3 linked regions of the Drosophila melanogaster genome follow. The protein of the gene in region 2 purifies or fractionates together with the protein of the main gene of each other region. This does not show direct contact. Each region holds a gene or a part of one and is shown on either strand. Other genes may lie near its edges. The genes, in order: Vps13, Rab7 and Gdi.

Region 1 (6,020 bases), on a different chromosome or scaffold from region 2:
TATTATATAAATGTTAAAAAATAAATGTATAAAACCACATACGGTTGTAAGTTTCTTTTAATGGTACCATTTCCCGAGGAATTTTCCCCATTACTTGCAATGCAATTTGGTCAAAACATTTCGCCTATCTAAAAAATTCTTTCTTAAGCTAGCTGGTAAATGAATCTCTATTTGAGGTAGCTGTGCACCACATCGCGCAACTCCTTGATGACCTGCGACTGATCGGAGGCGCCCACCACGGCGGTTCCCGAGACGATCATGTTGGCTCCGGCCTCGGCACAGCAGTGTATAGTCTTGGGTCCCACACCTCCGTCCACCTCGATGTCCAGGTTGGGGTAGTTTTCGCGCAGCCACTTGACCTTCGGCATCATATCGGCCATGAAGGATTGTCCGCCAAAACCGGGTTCCACGGTCATCACCAGCACAACGTCGGCAATGCTCAAGTACTTCTCCAGATCTTGTACCTAAAAGGTAAGTGCAACAGGTGGTTACTCGTTGGATATTTTCAAAATTGTAAGGAACTTCAGACCTAGCTTGGGACAAGATCTAGTGGAAATATCAAATCTATAAATAATTTCAAACAAATAAGCAACAAGCTGTGGCTATACAACATACATAGGAGGTATCAAGTATCAAAAGTGATATAACCCTAACCTCAACCTACCTCGGTGCCCGGCTTAATGGCCAGGCCCACCTTCATGCCCGACTCCTGCACTCGGCGACTGACTCTGACGACATCCTGCACCGGTTCGACGTGGAAGGTGTAGAGATTGACACCGGCATCGGCCATGGGCTCTATCCACTGCTCCGGATTCTGGACCATCATGTGCGTCTCGAAAAAGGCCGTCTATATGGGGTTGTGGCATAGGTAATTGAATATCTGGCTCAGATGACTGCAGACTTACCTTGATCTTGTTGCGCAAGCTCTTGACCATGGGGTGACCAAAGGTGAGATTCGGCACAAAAGTGCCGTCCATCACGTCCAGATGCAGGTAGTCCGCTCCATTGTCCAGTAGTTTCTGTGACTCCGCCGCTAGGTTGGAGAGATCCGCATTGAGAATGCTGGGACCGATCTTGGCTTGGACGGGCATCTTCTTGGTGGAACAGCTACTCAACAGGCGGAGCAAGTAGAGCACGTCGCGGTTCGCGGGTGGCGTCTTGTTGACTTAAGGTCACACAGAGGGGAGCTGGAGCTCGAAACATTTGAAAGGCGATACGATAACTTTGCCGATGGCACCGTGAGTTGTGTAGTTGGTCAGCGATTAATTTAGAGTTTTGCTTAAATTTTTCATTTATTTTGTTTTTGATTTGACACATACGCAGTGTATATAAACAATCTAATAGAGATACAAATATTATATTCAAAATATGTTTATTGAAATATTCATATTTTTATCCATATTTATTCCATCCCGCAAACGGAGCCGTTTCCCTGTGAATGGCCAAGCAAAATACATATGTAGCTTCTTTAATAAGTTTGTTTAATAAATTTGTTTTATTTTAATTGAACTTTGATCTTAAATAGTGAGAATGTTTTGATGTGCTGGTATGCCGTGGAACCGGCCTACAGTTCGTCCTTTTTCGCATTGACACCTGGGTACTCCTTGTTCTCGATGGTTACGCCCTTGCAGCGTTCCTGCTCGATGAGGAAGTCCTTGGCGTCCCAGGCTTGTGTGCCGTCCTTGAAGAGGAAGATGGCGCGGTTATCGTCAACCATGTAGCGCTCCGCCTGGATGTGGTTGTTCCAGAGGCTTGTCTGCCAGAGCTTGGTGATGGTGTCGCTCTCCTCCCGGGTTGGATTACCGGTCACCGAAACGAAGGTCATCAGCGTGCGCCCCTTTTTGGACACCTTGAGCAGGTCCTCGGGGCTCTTGCTGTCCAGATTGCTCAGGTCCAGCTTGGGCTGGGGGCGCAGGTGCTCGGGCAGCTCATCATCCTCGAGGGGCTCTTCATCTTCCTAAGAGAAGATTAAAAGAAGGGGTATCAGTTATCCGTCTCTACAAATGATGAATCCTTAGATAGGTGGGAATCTAAAGGGTTGGCATTACTCCCTTGCTAGGTGCGAATCTGGAGAGTTGGGTCCGATGTGTCGCTTTCCAATCGCAGTGTTGTTACCTACCTCCCATTGATCTAGCAGACGCTCGAGGTCCGCCTCGCTGTAGTCGCGTATATCCTTTTTGGCCCACGCCGGTTTCTCCTCCTCCTTGAACTTCTTGGCCAGGACGAGCGGGGTCAGAGCTAGCAGCAGCAAAACAAGACGTGTTTGCATGGTGTTTTATAAATATTTTTCCTATAGCTCAGCAATTCGCACGGTCAAACACGTCACCTAACAGTTTGCCATTCGCCCGGGAACGCGACCGAACAGCTGATTGAGCGTCCCCAGGTGGAGAACGCAAACGGAAAACACAACAGCTGTTAGTTTCGGGCGAGCATTTAAAGAACGCGCATCGCACGGAGTTACTACTTTTTTGTCGCGTGGAAATGCCGCTGGTAATTGGGTGCAGTAAATAGAGATAAGAACGGGCGTTGCACACGTGCTCTGGAGTGGAGTAGTGAGTTAATCGCACCAGCCCTACTCCAGCTGACCCTGGACAATCGTTTGGCTTGTTAGTTTATTTTGGAACAATGGGCCTGGCGGATTGTGCCAAAATATTTGAAATGCGTTCAACGATGACATCATCGACATTGTGTTTTAATCCGTCTCTCCGTTCCATCTGTTTGGTTTCTGTGTTTACATATGCATGTATTTTAGATCAACTATAGACCGCACAGCGAACGCCAGATTGTTTGAAGCACTCACCACGACCACATCAATTGGAATAACAACCACAAACTTGGAGGAAAATCAATAGGAGCATCTGCTAGGACACAATGGTCTTCGAGGCGGTGGTGGCCGATGTGCTGAACAAGGTGCTCGGCGACTACATCGAGAACTTGGACCGGAACCAGCTGAAGATTGGCATTTGGGGAGGTGAGTTCCAGTTCCCCGGAGAGGATGACACCATTCTGCTCCACCCTCACGCAAAAACATCGCCTTACTGCGGTACCCATTGTTTATTGGTCTATTTGCACGCAAGTGCCCAGAAAAAACAATGATGGCGGTGACCTTATCCTTGGCAAAATACTATTAATGACCTAATTTCGTCGCTTCTAAGTGAGCCGTATTCGCAAGTTCATGCGAACCCAATGAATTCTTCTGAGAAAGAGAAAAGACGGAGGAGCATTCAGACTTCGAGGGGTGGGACAACTGTTGCATCTTGCTGTGCGATAGAGCAATTCTTGTGGTTTCTCTTGGCTCTCCATGAGCTCATTTAGTCTCTGCCTTTATATCTTTTATTTACAAATCTACTTGTATAGGGTTTCTGTGTGAAACATAAACAATTCTTCGGTCTTTTATCTGAATGTACTCACTTCACTTCATGTTAAGTGGGTTGTAAATTCCACTTCACGAAGACAAGTTTGCGACAAACCCAGTAAACGGGTTTGTTCAAAGAGTGACGTTCGGCGACAAGCCTGTTTTAATTCGGCTGATCTTGAACTTGGTGACATAATGCCTTGCGTTCATAAATTCATGTTAATTAGCATTTTGTTTTAAACTTATATAAGAGTATTTCATTCAAATATGCTTGAAGTAAGAAAGACCGGGCTTATGCTTCGTTAGAAATGAATGAATATATGCTATAAAATGATATTTTCTCTACAATACCTAAATATTTTGAATAAAACTGATTAGCTTAACTAATCAAAAATGACCTAGTTAAGTCAATGGAATATGTGTGTATATATTGCTTCTATGCAGGGTATATTATTTATATTATATTATTTGCCCAATGATTCATATTTGTTTTCATTTTGCAATTTACAAGTCAAGCGTGTTATATGTACATATATTGTAAAATGCAATCAGGTGAATAACTCTTCTTGTTTATTGAAGCAATCTAATTTAATCAGTTGTTACAACACTGTTATCAGAGTAACTTATAATTAATACTCTTGTATTTAATGTCGATAATTGAACACCACTTGCAGAATTATGATTATTGGCCAGATATGAAGTTTGTAAAGTAAGGCCAAACATGTTCCTATCAGTGCGATTCGACTGGCCTCAAATGTTGGATAACTTTAATGGGGTCGCTTGGTCGTTAAACTATTGACACACAAGCGTAATTCAATGTATAGTATATTCACCAATTGTGCTGCCCATTTTGCATTCCAAGCATAACAAACACTTAACAACTATAAATGCCGCATGCCCAAAATGCCAGACATTGGTAAACAGTATTGACATATTGGTGCGCCCGCTGCTTTTTCCATTTGCGTACTTAACACTTTGCAAAGCCTTAGTCATATATAAATGTAGCTATAGCGCTCTCCCTATGTAATTAACCCGTAATTAATTAATAGGCATTCGCTCCCACTTTTGCAAATGACTGATTACTGCGACTGATAAGACTAATGAAAGCAAATTCTGTCTTTGTTTGGCAGGCGATGTCGTCTTGCAGAACCTCAAGATACGGGAGAATGCCCTGGACGAGTTGGACCTGCCCGTACAGCTTATCTATGGTTACTTGGGTATGTAAAGCATTAGTTTCCAACTGAATTGGATACTCATACACTGTGAATTTAATAAATTTGCAGGCAAACTAGTGCTTAAGATCCCCTGGAAGAATTTGTACAGCCAGCCGGTAATTGTCAACATTGAGGATCTTTATGTCTTAGTTTCACCCAACAACAATGTCCAGTACAACGCCGAAAAGGAGGCCAAATATGAGATGGACCTCAAGAAGGCGGCGCTTGATGCCCTGGAGGCAGCTCGCAAAAAGGAGTTGGAAATGGGTAAGCGAATCTTCTTTTCCATTCTTTGAATGAATCGAAATATATATATATATATTATACTCATTCACAGATCAGCCCAAAGCAGATGCAGGATTTGCCGAAAAGCTAACGGCGCAGATCGTTAACAATCTGCAGGTGCAGATAACCAACGTTCATCTGCGATACGAGGATACCACAACGACGGGTAGTCCCTTCTCCTTCGGCATATCCCTGCATGAGCTCGAACTTTACACCACCGATTGCGACTGGGAGAAGTGCTACATGGCCCAGCAGGCGTCGCAGGTCTTCAAAATAGCGAATCTCTCATGTCTTTCCGCCTATTTGAACTGTGGTGGACAACTGTACGCGAACAACAAGAGCGACCTTTCACAGCAGTTCAAGACGAATATTGCTTGCAAGGAAACAAAACCCAACTACAACTATGGTAATATTTTATAATTCTGTACGAGAAACACCTAAAACGTTTCCTTGCGGTTATAGTGCTGGGTCCTATCTCTTGCAATGCCAAGCTAAAGCTAAACATGAACCCGGAGCTCGATGATCCGCCATTTGAAAAACCTAAAATCGATCTTACGCTGGAAATGGAAAAGCTTAATGTCGGCTTGACAAACACACAGTTCGACAATCTCATGAAGCTTGGAGACGCTATGAACCGCCAGCAGTTGGGCATACCGTACCGGAAATATCGTCCCTACAATATACGTAAGTATTGATCAGACTCTGATTTTTTTCAGTAGTTATTAACCATAAATTGATGTATTATTTTTTTTAGCATACAAAGGCCACGCCAGGGACTGGTGGCACTTTGCAATAACTTCTATTCTAGAGGAGGAAGTAAGGAAACCCAGAGAGAGCTGGACTTGGGGACACATCAAGACCCACAGAGAACGCTGCAACACTTATGCACAGGTGTGTGGAATGTCTTAACTAAAGAAACTACAGTATCCACAGTGCACATTTTACGTTTTAGAAATACAAGGAGCAGTGCTTAAGCAAAAAACCGTCAGCCGTGCTTACGGAAACCTGCCGTTTGCTAGAAACGGAGCTGGACGTTTTTAACTTGCTGCTAATCCGGCAGAGGGTCAACATCGAGATAGCCAAGCAACGAGAGGCAGTGCCTGAACAAAAGTCGGGCTGGTTCAGTGGTTGGGGATGGGGCGGCGGAGCCAAGAAGGATGACCAAA
Region 2 (5,604 bases):
GAAGTTCCCAATTGGAAGCGCAGCTGGCGTCTAAGGTCTCCACGAGTGCTTTCAGTGCATTAAACTGTGCCTGCGGGAACTGGTAGGCAAGCGTCAGGTGCAGGCTCTTAACGTGTGGCTCGAGTGAGATGGCTACAGGTAGTTAGAAGCTATTAGTAGCCTTTCGCTAGGCGGAACAAACGATTACTGAATGGAAATGAAGGCGGTGCTGGTTATATGCTTTCGTATCTAACACGGTGAATCGATGTTTTTCGATAAGGAATTATAGTCACTTAAAGTTATCTTTGGGCAAAACCAAACGTCACGGGCTTATCAACTACAGTTCTGGTCTTCTAATAATCAAAGATTTTTTGTATATATAGTGACACTAATCGGTTTTAATAATAAACTGAAATATTTTTCAAACAAATGAAACGGGGTATAAACAAATTAACTATGTAGCTACCAAAAACATCGATCACCTTGCTATCTACAGTTACTACTAATTAACTACAATTAGCAGCGTCATGTTGAATTTCGCCAAAAGGGCGATTAGATTAGTAACTTATCTACCAGTGCAACTAAAGCATGCATAGAGTGATAAGAAAGTGTACTTTTGGGTGAATCAAAAACGATTTTATGCAAACTAATGGCTCTAGCTAATGGCTTACATCGACTGCTGCGCGGAATGCAGCGGGTGCCCGAGGAGACAGCACCGCACCAGGGAAAGCAGGCCACAATGGCGTCCAACTGCTCATAGGTATCGCTAATGACTGTGCAGCATATCCCAGATTATCCAGAAGTGTGCAGGAAGAGAGGAGAACAACATAACCGTGTAAGCCACTCCGAAAAATGGAAAACCATCAACCGAATCGAACAGAACGTGAGAAAGGTAAACCAAAACAACCCAAAGAGAGTGCAACCAACAGAAGGATAATTCGTACTTGAGTTGGACACCTCCTTCACGTACTGCAGGGCCAGTCGTTTCAGATAGTTGGCATCCTCCTCGGCCACGAAAAAACCCATGAAGTTTTGACTCATGTAGGGCTCCAGTTTAAGGGGGCGATCCAACAAGGCGCCCGTCATGTCCACCACCTGTTTGAGCGCCTTGGACAGCTGCAGCGAGCACTCATCGGGGGCCTGTAATTTCGATTAGGTGAATAAATAAAGTCTGGATAATCCAACTTAAGCTCACTTTAAAAAACGAAACCAGGGTTATGTGAGGCACGTAGTTGTGTGCTCCATTCCAACCGCACATTTGGCGCGACTTGGCCCAGAACTCCTCCAGCTGCTGCAGAAACGGACCCGTGGGACAAGCATATATAATATATTCCCTGGGGGCGCACTCGTCCAGGGTGCCATCGTTGACATGTGCCAGCAACCAATCCGAGGCAATCTGGACACCACGATTACCAGTTGAAGCCAAAGCTTTCTCCCTGTGTAGGGGTAAGCAAAAAAATCAATACTCTGATTCTATGAAACAAATCAACATAGTGGGTCACTCGCACGCATAGCCACTATATCTTGGATGGAACCTAGAGCAGCTGGTGACTGCCAATACGCTATGCATAGAAAACTCACGCTCTATGCCTGGGAAACCCCATTTGGAGCAATGTTTGGAGCGGCGTCAGATGCTGCTTAGAGATGCAGATCCTCGTAGGGGTCTGACTCTTACGCGGCGGAAGCGTGGCCATTTCGATTATAGCCTCCTATGTAAGCCCAGGTGACCACCGTTTAGCAGCTTTTGGTTTTTCCTGGCTGTTCAATATTTTTCAGTGATAATTTCAACAAAAATAGGATACAATTCGTTAATTGGCCACAAAAAAGTGTTGGCTAACGACAGCCTAAAGATAGTCAACTTCTACCGATAGCTGTAACACGACTGCACTATCGATAACCAGTACTGACCAGTAGAGATGAGAGCGATTCTCCTAGCGAGACAACAACAAAATTCACTGCGTAATTAATTGAATATTTTTTAGTAAAACCGAAGCGCCCCACAAAGAAACAGCTCTTGGAGTGTTCACCAGTGTTCAAAGTGAGTGCCACTACAAAAGGAATTAGGCGAATAGCAAAAGCAAAGCGTTAAAAAGAGTGTTACGCAGCAGGCGAAAAGTGCATGGAAAATGCCAGTGGAGCCCCACATCAAACATACACACGCACACTCGAAAAACGTACACAACAAAGACCCACGCACACCGACGCAATTAGTGGCGTAGTTGTAATGGTGGAGCACAAAAACAAGTTGTTCATGGTCTAAAAAAGGGGGGCGGGGAGTTTATCTCCCTTTGGAGAGTCCACTTTCGCACTATTTTCGATTGCACCATAGTGACTCCCCCTGCCATCGAGGACTTTGAGGAAATGGGCGTTTTCCCAGGCACTTTTCCTGGTATTCCAGACCCGCTTTATTAGCTCGACCTCGTCTTTGTCTGTACTCAGCGCACTTTCTCCGCTGCGCCAATAGTGATCACGCTTTATCGCCTCGATGCGGGCACCTCCCTCCCCTACTGACCGCCTGTTCACACAGTCCAGCGATCACACACTGCGGATTGCTCAGAGTGACTCACCCGATTTGTTTATCACCCAGCACGGCGTAGCACAACTGCTCGTCATTACAAACATTTTACAGCTGCGAATGGCTTGCACTTCGAGCACTTAGGCAGTCAGGTCCTGGCAGAGATTACGGCTTTCATTGGCATGTAGTTTAGACTCTAGAGGTTTGCGCAGTTCACTTTCATTTATCTTAGGAAAGAAACCATCACACCCCTACACTTCCTAATCGAATTAGAGGAAACCGCAATGGTATTTTTAACACACAATCAATAATATTCTGTGGTTTTCAGCACCAAATACCAAAAGAAATAACCCCGAGTAAGCCAACGCCACAAACTGCATCGAAATGTCCGGACGTAAGAAATCCCTACTGAAAGTCATCATTCTGGGCGACAGCAGTGTGGGCAAGACCTCTCTGATGAATCAGTATGTAAACAAACGCTTCTCCAACCAATACAAAGCCACGATCGGAGCTGATTTCTGCACGAAAGAGGTGGTGGTCAACGACCGAGTGGTCACAATGCAGGTAAGCACTATGAACTTCCAGTAATCCTATTTCAGTGACATAACTCGCAAAATTTCAATAACAGATCTGGGACACTGCTGGTCAGGAACGCTTCCAGTCGCTTGGAGTGGCGTTTTACCGCGGAGCCGACTGCTGCGTGCTTGTCTACGATGTGACGGCGCCCAACTCGTTCAAGAATCTCGACTCCTGGCGCGACGAGTTCCTCATACAGGCCAGTCCACGGGATCCCGATCACTTCCCCTTCGTTGTGTTGGGCAATAAGGTGGATTTGGACAACCGCCAGGTGTCCACGCGTCGAGCGCAGCAATGGTGCCAATCTAAGAACGATATACCCTACTACGAAACGTCCGCCAAGGAGGGCATCAACGTGGAGATGGCGTTTCAAGTTATAGCCAAGAATGCGTTAGAGTTGGAGGCGGAGGTAAGAAATCCTATTTAAATATTGTTTTCCATACTAAATCGAACTTTGTACTTTCACACAGGCTGAAGTTATCAACGATTTCCCCGATCAGATTACCTTGGGCTCGCAAAACAATCGTCCTGGCAATCCTGACAACTGTCAGTGCTAATGTAACAACAACGCAAAATGGATAATTACACAATCTATATTATTAAATAATATTTCCAACATAATAATGAACATGAGAAGCAAGCAACACAAAGGACGATAGAGGAAGGTGTTATATGATTAAGTAAAACAATTTCAGCAAAACAGCATAGTAATTAATTAACTGATAGGATGCAAAGTTCAGATTCAGATCAACATCAGCTGAGTCTTAACGAGCCTCTGGCAAAGGCTTAACCAGTATACCCACTTTCCTACGACCTAAGTAACCGTTCAATGAATAAGTATGCTCTGTGTACTCGTATTTAATAATTCATGTTTCTGACCGACCGCCCGCCTATCTCCCTAGTACTATTTTTGCCATTGTATTAGTCAAATTTTGCACGCAACCGCTGCTGGCTTTTGCAACAGAACAGCAACATTGAGAATACAACATCAGAGTATCTTCTAAACAAACAAAAAATCTTGTGATTGTAAATTTAATAAAAGAATAACTTTTTAAATGTAATTTACAGACATAATTTCCTGCACCATCGAATTGGCTACTCTATTGTAATTGGCTGAGCTCCACAAAACTTCTTTATGCATAACATTCGAGCGTGAATTTGGTTTAGTTATAACGTTACTCGATATATCCTATAACTATGAATAGTATTCCATGTAAAATTGCTCCTTGTTTTTGGTAATACATATATGTAAATTGTGTATATTTCGAATTTATTTTTTTCCAAAGATTCATTTTATGAATTCTCATGCTCTTTGGTTTAATTTAAAGAATAAACTTGAACAATTTACAATAAAAGTCAAATAAGCTTATTTTGATATTTTTATGTGGGCTTAATTTACTTTGTGCCCACTGTAGAACAGATGCAACCAGGTGAACACAGAATATCGCTTATCGATAACTCAGCCCTGTTAATATTTGTCTGCGAAAACAGCTGTGGCTATTGTCTGTTAACTCGCTTAGTCTATTTATTTAACTAAATACCATGTCGAATATTTCAAGTGTGGCACCACCTCCTCCCCCACCACCCATGATAGTCACTCCTAGCACACCTGCTACCACAAAGGAACGTCCAGTTGGGGACAATATAACCACCGATGAGTGCACTTGGGCATGTGAGTATCCTGAGGTGCAGAAAGGATGCTATTTAAGTCGCGTCTGCCAATATACACCACCGAAACACTGTCAATACTACTCCGTAAACAGCATAGTGCAGGTGAGTTAGAAAACAATAAAGATTTCTCAGTTTGTTATTCGATAACATATGTATGTGCACCGAAGGTGGGACCTACTTGTGGCTTAGTGGCCCTCAGCATGTTGCTTGGTGGCAGTCCCACGGCAGATGATCTCCTCAAGGATGCAATCGACCAGGAGTATACCCTTAATGGTGAACTATTTAGTGCTCAGTATTTGTTTGAACTGACCCGGAAGCATATGCCAGGACCTGCTGCGTGTCAGTTGCATGTAGGTCCTTTGGACTGCAAAAAAGTCAAGGAACTTTTAAAGGCCGGAGGCTGCCTACTAGTGCCGTATCCTTTTTCAAAAATATTGCCATTTAAACCCGGGTTGAGTTTGGTATTCCCCTGCATTTAAAGCCGTTGGCGCCTAACAGCACTTGTAAACGGTGAACAGCACACTGTTGTCTGGCAGTGTTGTAAAACTCGCGGTAGTTCAGTGGTGCAACTTATAAACAGCGTTTTGTGTTTCGCAAAATAATATACAATTTTCAGTCAGTAAGTAAACGAGAAGTGCAAATACTTTTATTAAATGGCCGACGAAACAGAGCAGGTATGTGTAAGAATAAAAGCGAAAAGGATATTCTCTATATTCCGTACTTGCAGCTCAGTCAGGTGATTTTGCCGGTAAAGGAGCCTTTGGATCTCATCCGATTGAGTTTAGATGAGAAGGTGTACGTAAAGATGCGCAACGAGCGGGAACTGCGAGGACGTCTTCACGTGAGTTGATGCCTCTTTTTAC
Region 3 (7,212 bases), on a different chromosome or scaffold from region 2:
CAATTAGCAAACGAGTAACGTCAACTACCGTTGAACTCAATTGAATAGAAGACGAAAGGGAAGGGAGGTTGATGAAGAAATACCCAAAGACACCGTACAGTGGGTAAAAATAAAACAAAAAAAGGTCTTACAAATTAAATTTACAACACGAAATTAGAGTAACCGCTCCTCTTTGCCCCTTACAACGAATAAAATGCAGAGCAATAAAAAGAACGGCTTGGTGGAATTTTAAATATGTCACAGGTAAGAGAAATTATTTTTTCCCGCCAGGTAAGCAACGGAAATTTTTAACAGCTGCTAGCATCCACCGAATTGCTGATCGGCAACCATGTTTCCAATTTAGTCTCAACATTTCAGTTTAAATCAGCATGCAAAACATCTATGTATAAAACTCAGTATTTATTTTATAATGGCGGCAGATATTTATTCTTATTGATTCTACGTTCTATGTTTAATAGACACCATTTTGAAATTTAGAAAAGTTGTGAAACGTGATGTTAAATTCGAATTCAATTTTACCGTCTTAAGAAAGATGTTATGTCTCTAAAATATACCCTTAATATATGATTTTAGATGTATTATATTTTTAACCATGAGTGCCAAGGAAAACTAATTTTTAGCTCAAAATAGATTTTTACAATGTGGGGGTCGGTTTCACACCGACCTCGCATTTCACTTGCATTTTCTAGTCCCACTGTGCGCAGTGAGGCCAAGCATCTTTACTGCATTACAGTGCAAACGAATCCAAAGCCGCAGAAAAACAAAAAGCAAAGTTAAAACCGCGACTGTTTGAATCTATTTGCCTTTTATCAAATGCCGGTAAGACAAAGAGAGAGAGAGATAGAAGGGGAAAGAGGATGGAGAAGCCAGAACGATCGGAGGCTGTGTGAATGAGTGAGCGAGATGGATGCGAGCAGGTAAAAAACCCGTCGTATATTTTGGGAGGATGGGGGCCGAGGGCGGTGGGCGGGGCAGTTGGTCTGCAACGCCTAACTGGTTCTTGGCAACCAACTTGTTTTTTCTGTAGATTGCCGCCGTCTGTGCTTTATTATGTTTTTTCCCTCCGACTTTATGCCTGTGCAATTTTTAATATGGCAACTTGATTTAAACGAAAAACTTACCCAATAAAATCGTAGACGTGGATTTATGCTTGTTTTTCGATCAATTCAATTGCCTGCGGTTATTTTATCCTTGCCTTCGTGGGGGTTTTGTTTTATATTTTTTGTTTGAAACTATTTTTACACGGGGATGAAAACAACTTTTCAGCATGGCAACAATACAAAAATGTTGCAGCACATTCAAAGCAACAACAAGAACAACAGGGAGGTAACATATGATAACCGAGGTCAGGCGGAAAGTGTGAGCGGGACAGGAGATTATCTTTTTGTTTTCTATTTTGTATGTTTCCTCAGCGAAGGAATTACAATAAATAATTATTTCCCAAAGACTTTATTTCACTTGGAGCACAGCATAAAAAATCCCTGAGCCGCTCACTTTTTCACTTCCTTTTGTTGGGGTTTTCGTCTTTTTTTTCGAACTTATTTTTTGCCACGAACTCGAGGTTTGGTTTGTTGTTGTTGCTAAGAATTTCAATACAATTATGGCCCAAATAGCATTTTCACTTTTCCACACAAGCACGCAGCCACCGCACGCACACACACTCACACAAGTACACAGTTGTTTGGCTCCGTTTTAAATGAAAATATAATCAAACATTTACATTGCCGTGTGTTTTTGCTCCACGAAAATGTATGATTATGTATGATTAGTTTTCCTTGCTCGCTGCACGCGCGAAAATCCGACGAAACAAAGAAACAAGAAACGACGCGAAGAGAACGTAACAACCTAAATAAACCCGATACAAAAATCGCGTCCGAATCGGCTCGTCGTTTCAACCAAAATCACCAGTAAAACTTTGCAGAGGCTTCGGGATGATGTGGCCAGACTCGCTAACTGTGCTAACAGCTGTAAGAAGAATGCCCCTAGTTTCGGAATAAATGTCTATCGTGTCTCCGATAATAAATGTACGCAAATGTTGGTTTTCTTGAAATTATTACATACATTGAAAAGTCTAATTGCTTATATTGTATTCTCTTTAAAATAAAAAGTAATGAACGAATGCGTGAGATATGATATAAATAGAGATCTCCAGTAACTTAAAACTCGATAGGTAAACAGCGTTCAAATACTGTTTACAATAATTGCTGAATATCTTTTTATATTTTATATGATCGATCTGTGAATCCTCCGTTTTGTTATTTTATAATGTCTTGCTTTATGCAAGACCAACACATGCATTTAACAAATTTAAATTGCAACTATAAATTTGCGCGCGCGACATGCAGCCCTGAAATGTCAATAATCTAGGAAATAAACTTTTGCAAAATCATAATCAATTCAAAAATCTTGCACACACGTCTCTAAATCTTTCGTACATTAATGCTCTGTGTGCAAATTAAATATCTTATATGCTTGTTTGGTTATTTCCTTATTTCCATGTACAATTAGCAGCCGATAGCAACTCTTTCTCATGCAGCCCTGGGCATGTACGAAAACGTAACGTAACGTGACCAGCAAACGGCGTGACGGCAAACGGGCAGCGCAAAGCGGACGAGCGAAAGGCGAACGAGTAGAGAAAAATTATTGAGCGCAGAGAAAAGTCCACCAAATCGAACGTCGCAGCAAGTGAAAAGGGCGAAAACCGGATAAAAAAAATATATAAATTACTGTGATTGCAATATATAAATAAGTGCGATCCAATATGAATGAGGAATACGATGCGATTGTGCTAGGAACGGGCCTCAAGGAGTGCATCCTCAGCGGGATGCTGTCCGTGTCCGGCAAGAAGGTTTTGCATATTGATCGAAACAAGTACTACGGCGGCGAGTCCGCCTCGATAACGCCGCTGGAGGAGCTCTTCCAGCGCTACGGACTGGAGCCGCCCGGCGAACGATTTGGGCGTGGCCGCGACTGGAACGTGGACCTGATCCCCAAGTTCCTGATGGCCAATGGCCAGCTGGTCAAGCTGCTGATCCACACGGGCGTCACCCGCTATCTGGAGTTCAAGTCCATCGAGGGCAGCTACGTTTACAAGGGCGGCAAGATAGCCAAGGTGCCGGTGGACCAAAAGGAGGCCCTGGCATCCGATCTCATGGGTTCGTTAATAATGCTCTTTTAAGTCCCGTTGCCTTTTTGCTTGGCGGTGAGCCCCCCACGAAAAATTGTGCAAATTACCAGCTGTGCTTGTGTGTGTGCGTGGTTGTATGTATGTATTTTCGTACTCGACTGTTATCTGCTTCCCCTCTCTCGCCCGCACCACTCTCTTTCTCTTCTCTTCTTTGTCTGCCTTTTCACTCGCTGGCAAAGCTCTTGTTGTTGTTATTCCCTTTTTTTTAATGTGACACGTATGTGTGTGCCGAAAAACAGTTGTTTTCTTCGCTCGCCAAAGAATTTCTACCAAAGTTTCCCCCACACATATCCATTTCCACACCATGTTTGTTGGCCCAACTATTATCGCCCTATTCCGATTGGAGTCGAAATTTTAATCGCTCTGCGCTGATTCATACACCTGCCGCTAATTGGTCGCCTCCATTTTACACCTGAATTTCGCTTTGTTTGAAATTTAAGTTTTTCCCTCTTCTTCGTGGCAGCAATGCAATTAGCTAAAACACGCTCTATTTATTTATGATTGGCTCTTGAATTTTTCCATTTCAATTTTTACTTAGTTTTTGCAACCAGGTTTTTGGCCAGGCGCATTGAACCCCCTTCACTTTACAGTGGAGATTGCCTATAAACGAAAACATTTCATGACTTTAGATGTACTACATTTTTTAATTTTTGTCTTTAATTATCAATAATTTGCATATAAAATAGAAATTTTCAATGAAAATGTGACTATTAGGTAGATTTTACTTCCGTTTGTAACAATACCTATTGGATGTCTCAATTTGCTAATTGAAAGTTAAACACCTTGTCCATGCTTCACTGTGTCCGCATTACACATATGCTCGGAATGACGTCATGGGGTGGCCAAGTGGTTTCTGATTGTTGGTGGTGTGTCCTCCGCCCCCTAAATTGAAGGTTTCCCACTGTAGTTGCGTGCTGTTGTCCCAGTGAGTGTCTGTATGTGAGTGTTTGTGGCATGCAAATGAAATGGAAACGGGAAACTTGAAACCCTCGGGCTCGTGCACTCCCTTTATATGCAGATCCTGAACCCCAAACTGACCAATATGGCATTATGGATATACATATATAAATGTGACTTTACTTGCAGGTATGTTCGAGAAGCGTCGCTTCCGGAACTTCCTCATCTACGTGCAGGATTTCCGAGAAGATGACCCCAAGACCTGGAAGGACTTTGACCCCACCAAGGCCAACATGCAGGGTCTGTACGACAAGTTCGGACTGGACAAGAACACGCAGGACTTCACCGGCCACGCCCTGGCCCTTTTCCGCGACGATGAGTATCTGAACGAGCCGGCCGTGAACACCATCCGGCGGATTAAGCTCTACTCCGATTCGCTGGCGCGTTACGGCAAGTCGCCCTACCTTTATCCCATGTACGGCCTGGGTGAGCTGCCCCAGGGATTCGCACGTCTGTCGGCCATCTACGGCGGCACCTACATGCTTGACAAGCCCATCGACGAGATTGTCCTCGGCGAGGGCGGCAAGGTGGTGGGAGTGCGCTCCGGCGAAGAGGTCGCCAAGTGCAAGCAGGTCTACTGCGATCCCAGCTACGTGCCCGAGAAGGTGAGATTCACAAAAGATTTGTGTAAACTAGCCTATTAGTCTTTTGGAAATAACCATGTATTACATTTCTTTTATGTGACAGGTGCGCAAGCGTGGCAAGGTGATTCGCTGCATTTGCATTCTGGACCATCCGGTGGCCAGCACCAAGGATGGTCTCTCCACGCAGATTATCATTCCACAAAAGCAGGTCGGCCGCAAGTCGGACATCTATGTGTCGCTTGTGAGCTCCACTCATCAGGTGGCCGCCAAGGGTTGGTTCGTGGGCATGGTCTCGACCACCGTTGAGACCGAGAACCCGGAGGTGGAGATCAAGCCTGGCTTGGACTTGCTGGAGCCGATCGCACAAAAGTTTGTAACCATTTCGGACTATTTGGAGCCGATCGATGATGGATCCGAGTCTCAAATCTTTATTTCGGAGTCTTACGATGCGACCACGCACTTTGAGACTACTTGCCTGGATGTGTTGAACATATTCAAGCGGGGCACTGGCGAGACGTTCGACTTCTCCAAGATCAAGCACGAGTTGGGTGACGAGGAGCAGTAAACGGGAATGAAGGCCTCATCTGGTTATGGTGCATTTGGACAGCTCAACATCAGCCACAAACATCGTAGATCGTCTCAGCGTCGTGGCCAAACCTTAAAAAAAAAAATACCCAAGATAAGAAAACCCAAAATAAAAGCCCAAAAAAACTAAAGAAAACCGAAAATCCAGAAATTGTATTACGAAAATGCTTTCCATCGAGAGATGAAGTTTTAGATGTGAAACGAATTGCTTGCTTCGCGCAATATTGGATATGCCTAGAAAATATATATATATATATACCAATATAACATAAATTATACAACATGCAGTCGCGTATATATGTACGTCTATATAAATGTATAACTAAGTGAGTGTTAGGCAACTAAATCAAATTCCACAGATTCAGCTTGTGACTCGAGCAAAAGCGCTAGACTCGACAAACACTCTCCCATTTCGCCGATAGGCCAGTCAGTCAGACGATTACGCTTGGACTTTAGTTGTACGAGTATATAATAAAGTATATATATATATATAAAATATGACATCGTATATATATATTATCTATGTATATTGCCCTTCTGCTTGGTTTTTCTTTCTTTTTTTTTTTTGTGATCCACCCAATTTGTGTGGCTGCCAAGGCTCCAAACGAAAGCATAACACATACCTATAAACACGACACAAACTCTTACACATGCATAGTGCAGCATTATAATTGTAATTGTAATCCCCAGAAAGAAATCGATGGTATTGAAAATGTAAAACAGTCGAAAAAGTTCATCGCAGCATATACCCAAAAATAATGCAATTGATCGAAGCGCGGCAAACGACATATAAAGAGAACAGAACCTAAGAAGTTTGTCAATGGTATAGAGAACTATGGTATTCCGCATTTTCAGAATTTACATTTTTAATAAAAATTAAAAAAATATAAACATTTTTTTTTTTATTTACTATTTTTATATTGAGGGATGTTATGTTTGCTTTCCTTTCCCCAAAAGTCTGGTTTCTTTTCGGATTAAGGAATCTTGTCCTGGAGTTTTTCCACCGACTCATTTTATTGAACGTTTTCAGTTTCCGGTTCCGTTCAAAATGTCACTTGAGTTTTATAGCTACCAGCTTTTTATATGTCCTGGAGCTTTTCACCTTTCACACAGACTCATTTAATTTGAGATTTTTAGTTCTGGTTCCAGCCAAAGTGGCACTGAGTTTTGACGTCTTCAGCTTTTGTAACAGCCAAATGGCGGCAGATTTAAACTACATCAGTATGCACTGCAGTCCACGTAGTGACGAAGCGCACCATAAGTGTGTGCCAAGGCGGCTACTATATACACACAGAGAAATGAAAATCTGCTGTTTGACAGATCCTGGAAGAATATGGAAAGGATTTAGACGTATTCTTTGAGGTGACTTAGGATGGTCTGGTCTGTAAAGGAAATGGAAGGGATCTGGCCTAATTCTGGGTGGGATCAAGGAGGTATCTGTGTGGTGTCTTGTTAGGAAGGGGGACCTCTTAGTATAGAGACTCGGTTGTAAATAAAAATCTTTTCCAGACTCGCCATCCAAAAGTGACGACGACAGTCCGGGCGTTTCAGAGTTTGTTAGCTTTTCGCCGGATTTGAATCACGCAGCCATAGGGTTATAGTTATGACCAGGACTCCTCGTTGCCTCTTTATGTGACACAATTACGAATTCCGCAGCAAGTGTTTGGGATGCATTTGAAATACTTGCCCCCTTCCCCTCACCCTACTCACTCCGCACAAATCACCCCTTATGGCCGTGGTAAGTGGGAAATTCTTATTGAATTGCATGTGGCATGCCACACGAGTCGAAGGCTAGTTCGCTCACTTTGGGGTCCTCGTTCTTCGTCCTGCATCCTGTCGATGGCCCCAGGAATGTGCAAAATGCTGAGAATGCCGCTCTCCATTCCTGTTAGTTTTAAT

What was found.
Region 1: the proteins of Rab7 (region 2) and Vps13 purify together in Drosophila melanogaster (affinity purification with western blotting; one study listed by BioGRID). This does not show direct contact.
Region 3: the proteins of Rab7 (region 2) and Gdi purify together in Drosophila melanogaster (affinity purification with mass spectrometry; 2 studies listed by BioGRID). This does not show direct contact.

What each region holds. Positions count from the first base shown.
Region 1 is NT_033778.4:7,564,394-7,570,413, forward strand, and holds the start of Vps13 (vacuolar protein sorting 13), read left to right. Parts: upstream 1-2,415; 5' UTR 2,416-2,490; exon of another isoform or gene 2,491-2,606; intron 2,607-2,752; 5' UTR 2,753-2,871; coding exon 2,872-2,971; intron 2,972-4,485; coding exon 4,486-4,572; intron 4,573-4,638; coding exon 4,639-4,836; intron 4,837-4,906; coding exon 4,907-5,260; intron 5,261-5,316; coding exon 5,317-5,538; intron 5,539-5,608; coding exon 5,609-5,745; intron 5,746-5,806; coding exon 5,807-6,020. Other genes in the region: Rpe (Ribulose-5-phosphate-3-epimerase), read right to left, coding at 168-464, 665-847, 906-1,091; boca, read right to left, coding at 1,565-1,957, 2,120-2,269.
Region 2 is NT_033777.3:23,991,124-23,996,727, forward strand, and holds Rab7 (Rab7), read left to right. Parts: upstream 1-1,884; 5' UTR 1,885-2,017; intron 2,018-2,055; exon of another isoform or gene 2,056-2,153; intron 2,154-2,609; exon of another isoform or gene 2,610-2,696; intron 2,697-2,822; 5' UTR 2,823-2,878; coding exon 2,879-3,058; intron 3,059-3,122; coding exon 3,123-3,479; intron 3,480-3,540; coding exon 3,541-3,627; 3' UTR 3,628-4,329; downstream 4,330-5,604. Other genes in the region: Epp (ecdysteroid phosphate phosphatase), read right to left, coding at 1-132, 651-752, 924-1,119, 1,175-1,415, 1,561-1,673; CG33108 (uncharacterized protein), read left to right, coding at 4,613-4,843, 4,909-5,156; LSm3 (uncharacterized protein), read left to right, coding at 5,395-5,415, 5,469-5,582. UniProt on the Drosophila melanogaster protein: Small GTPase which cycles between active GTP-bound and inactive GDP-bound states. In its active state, binds to a variety of effector proteins playing a key role in the regulation of endo-lysosomal trafficking.
Region 3 is NT_033779.5:9,490,165-9,497,376, reverse strand, and holds Gdi (GDP dissociation inhibitor), read left to right. Parts: upstream 1-2,500; 5' UTR 2,501-2,761; coding exon 2,762-3,155; intron 3,156-4,273; coding exon 4,274-4,749; intron 4,750-4,831; coding exon 4,832-5,293; 3' UTR 5,294-6,201; downstream 6,202-7,212.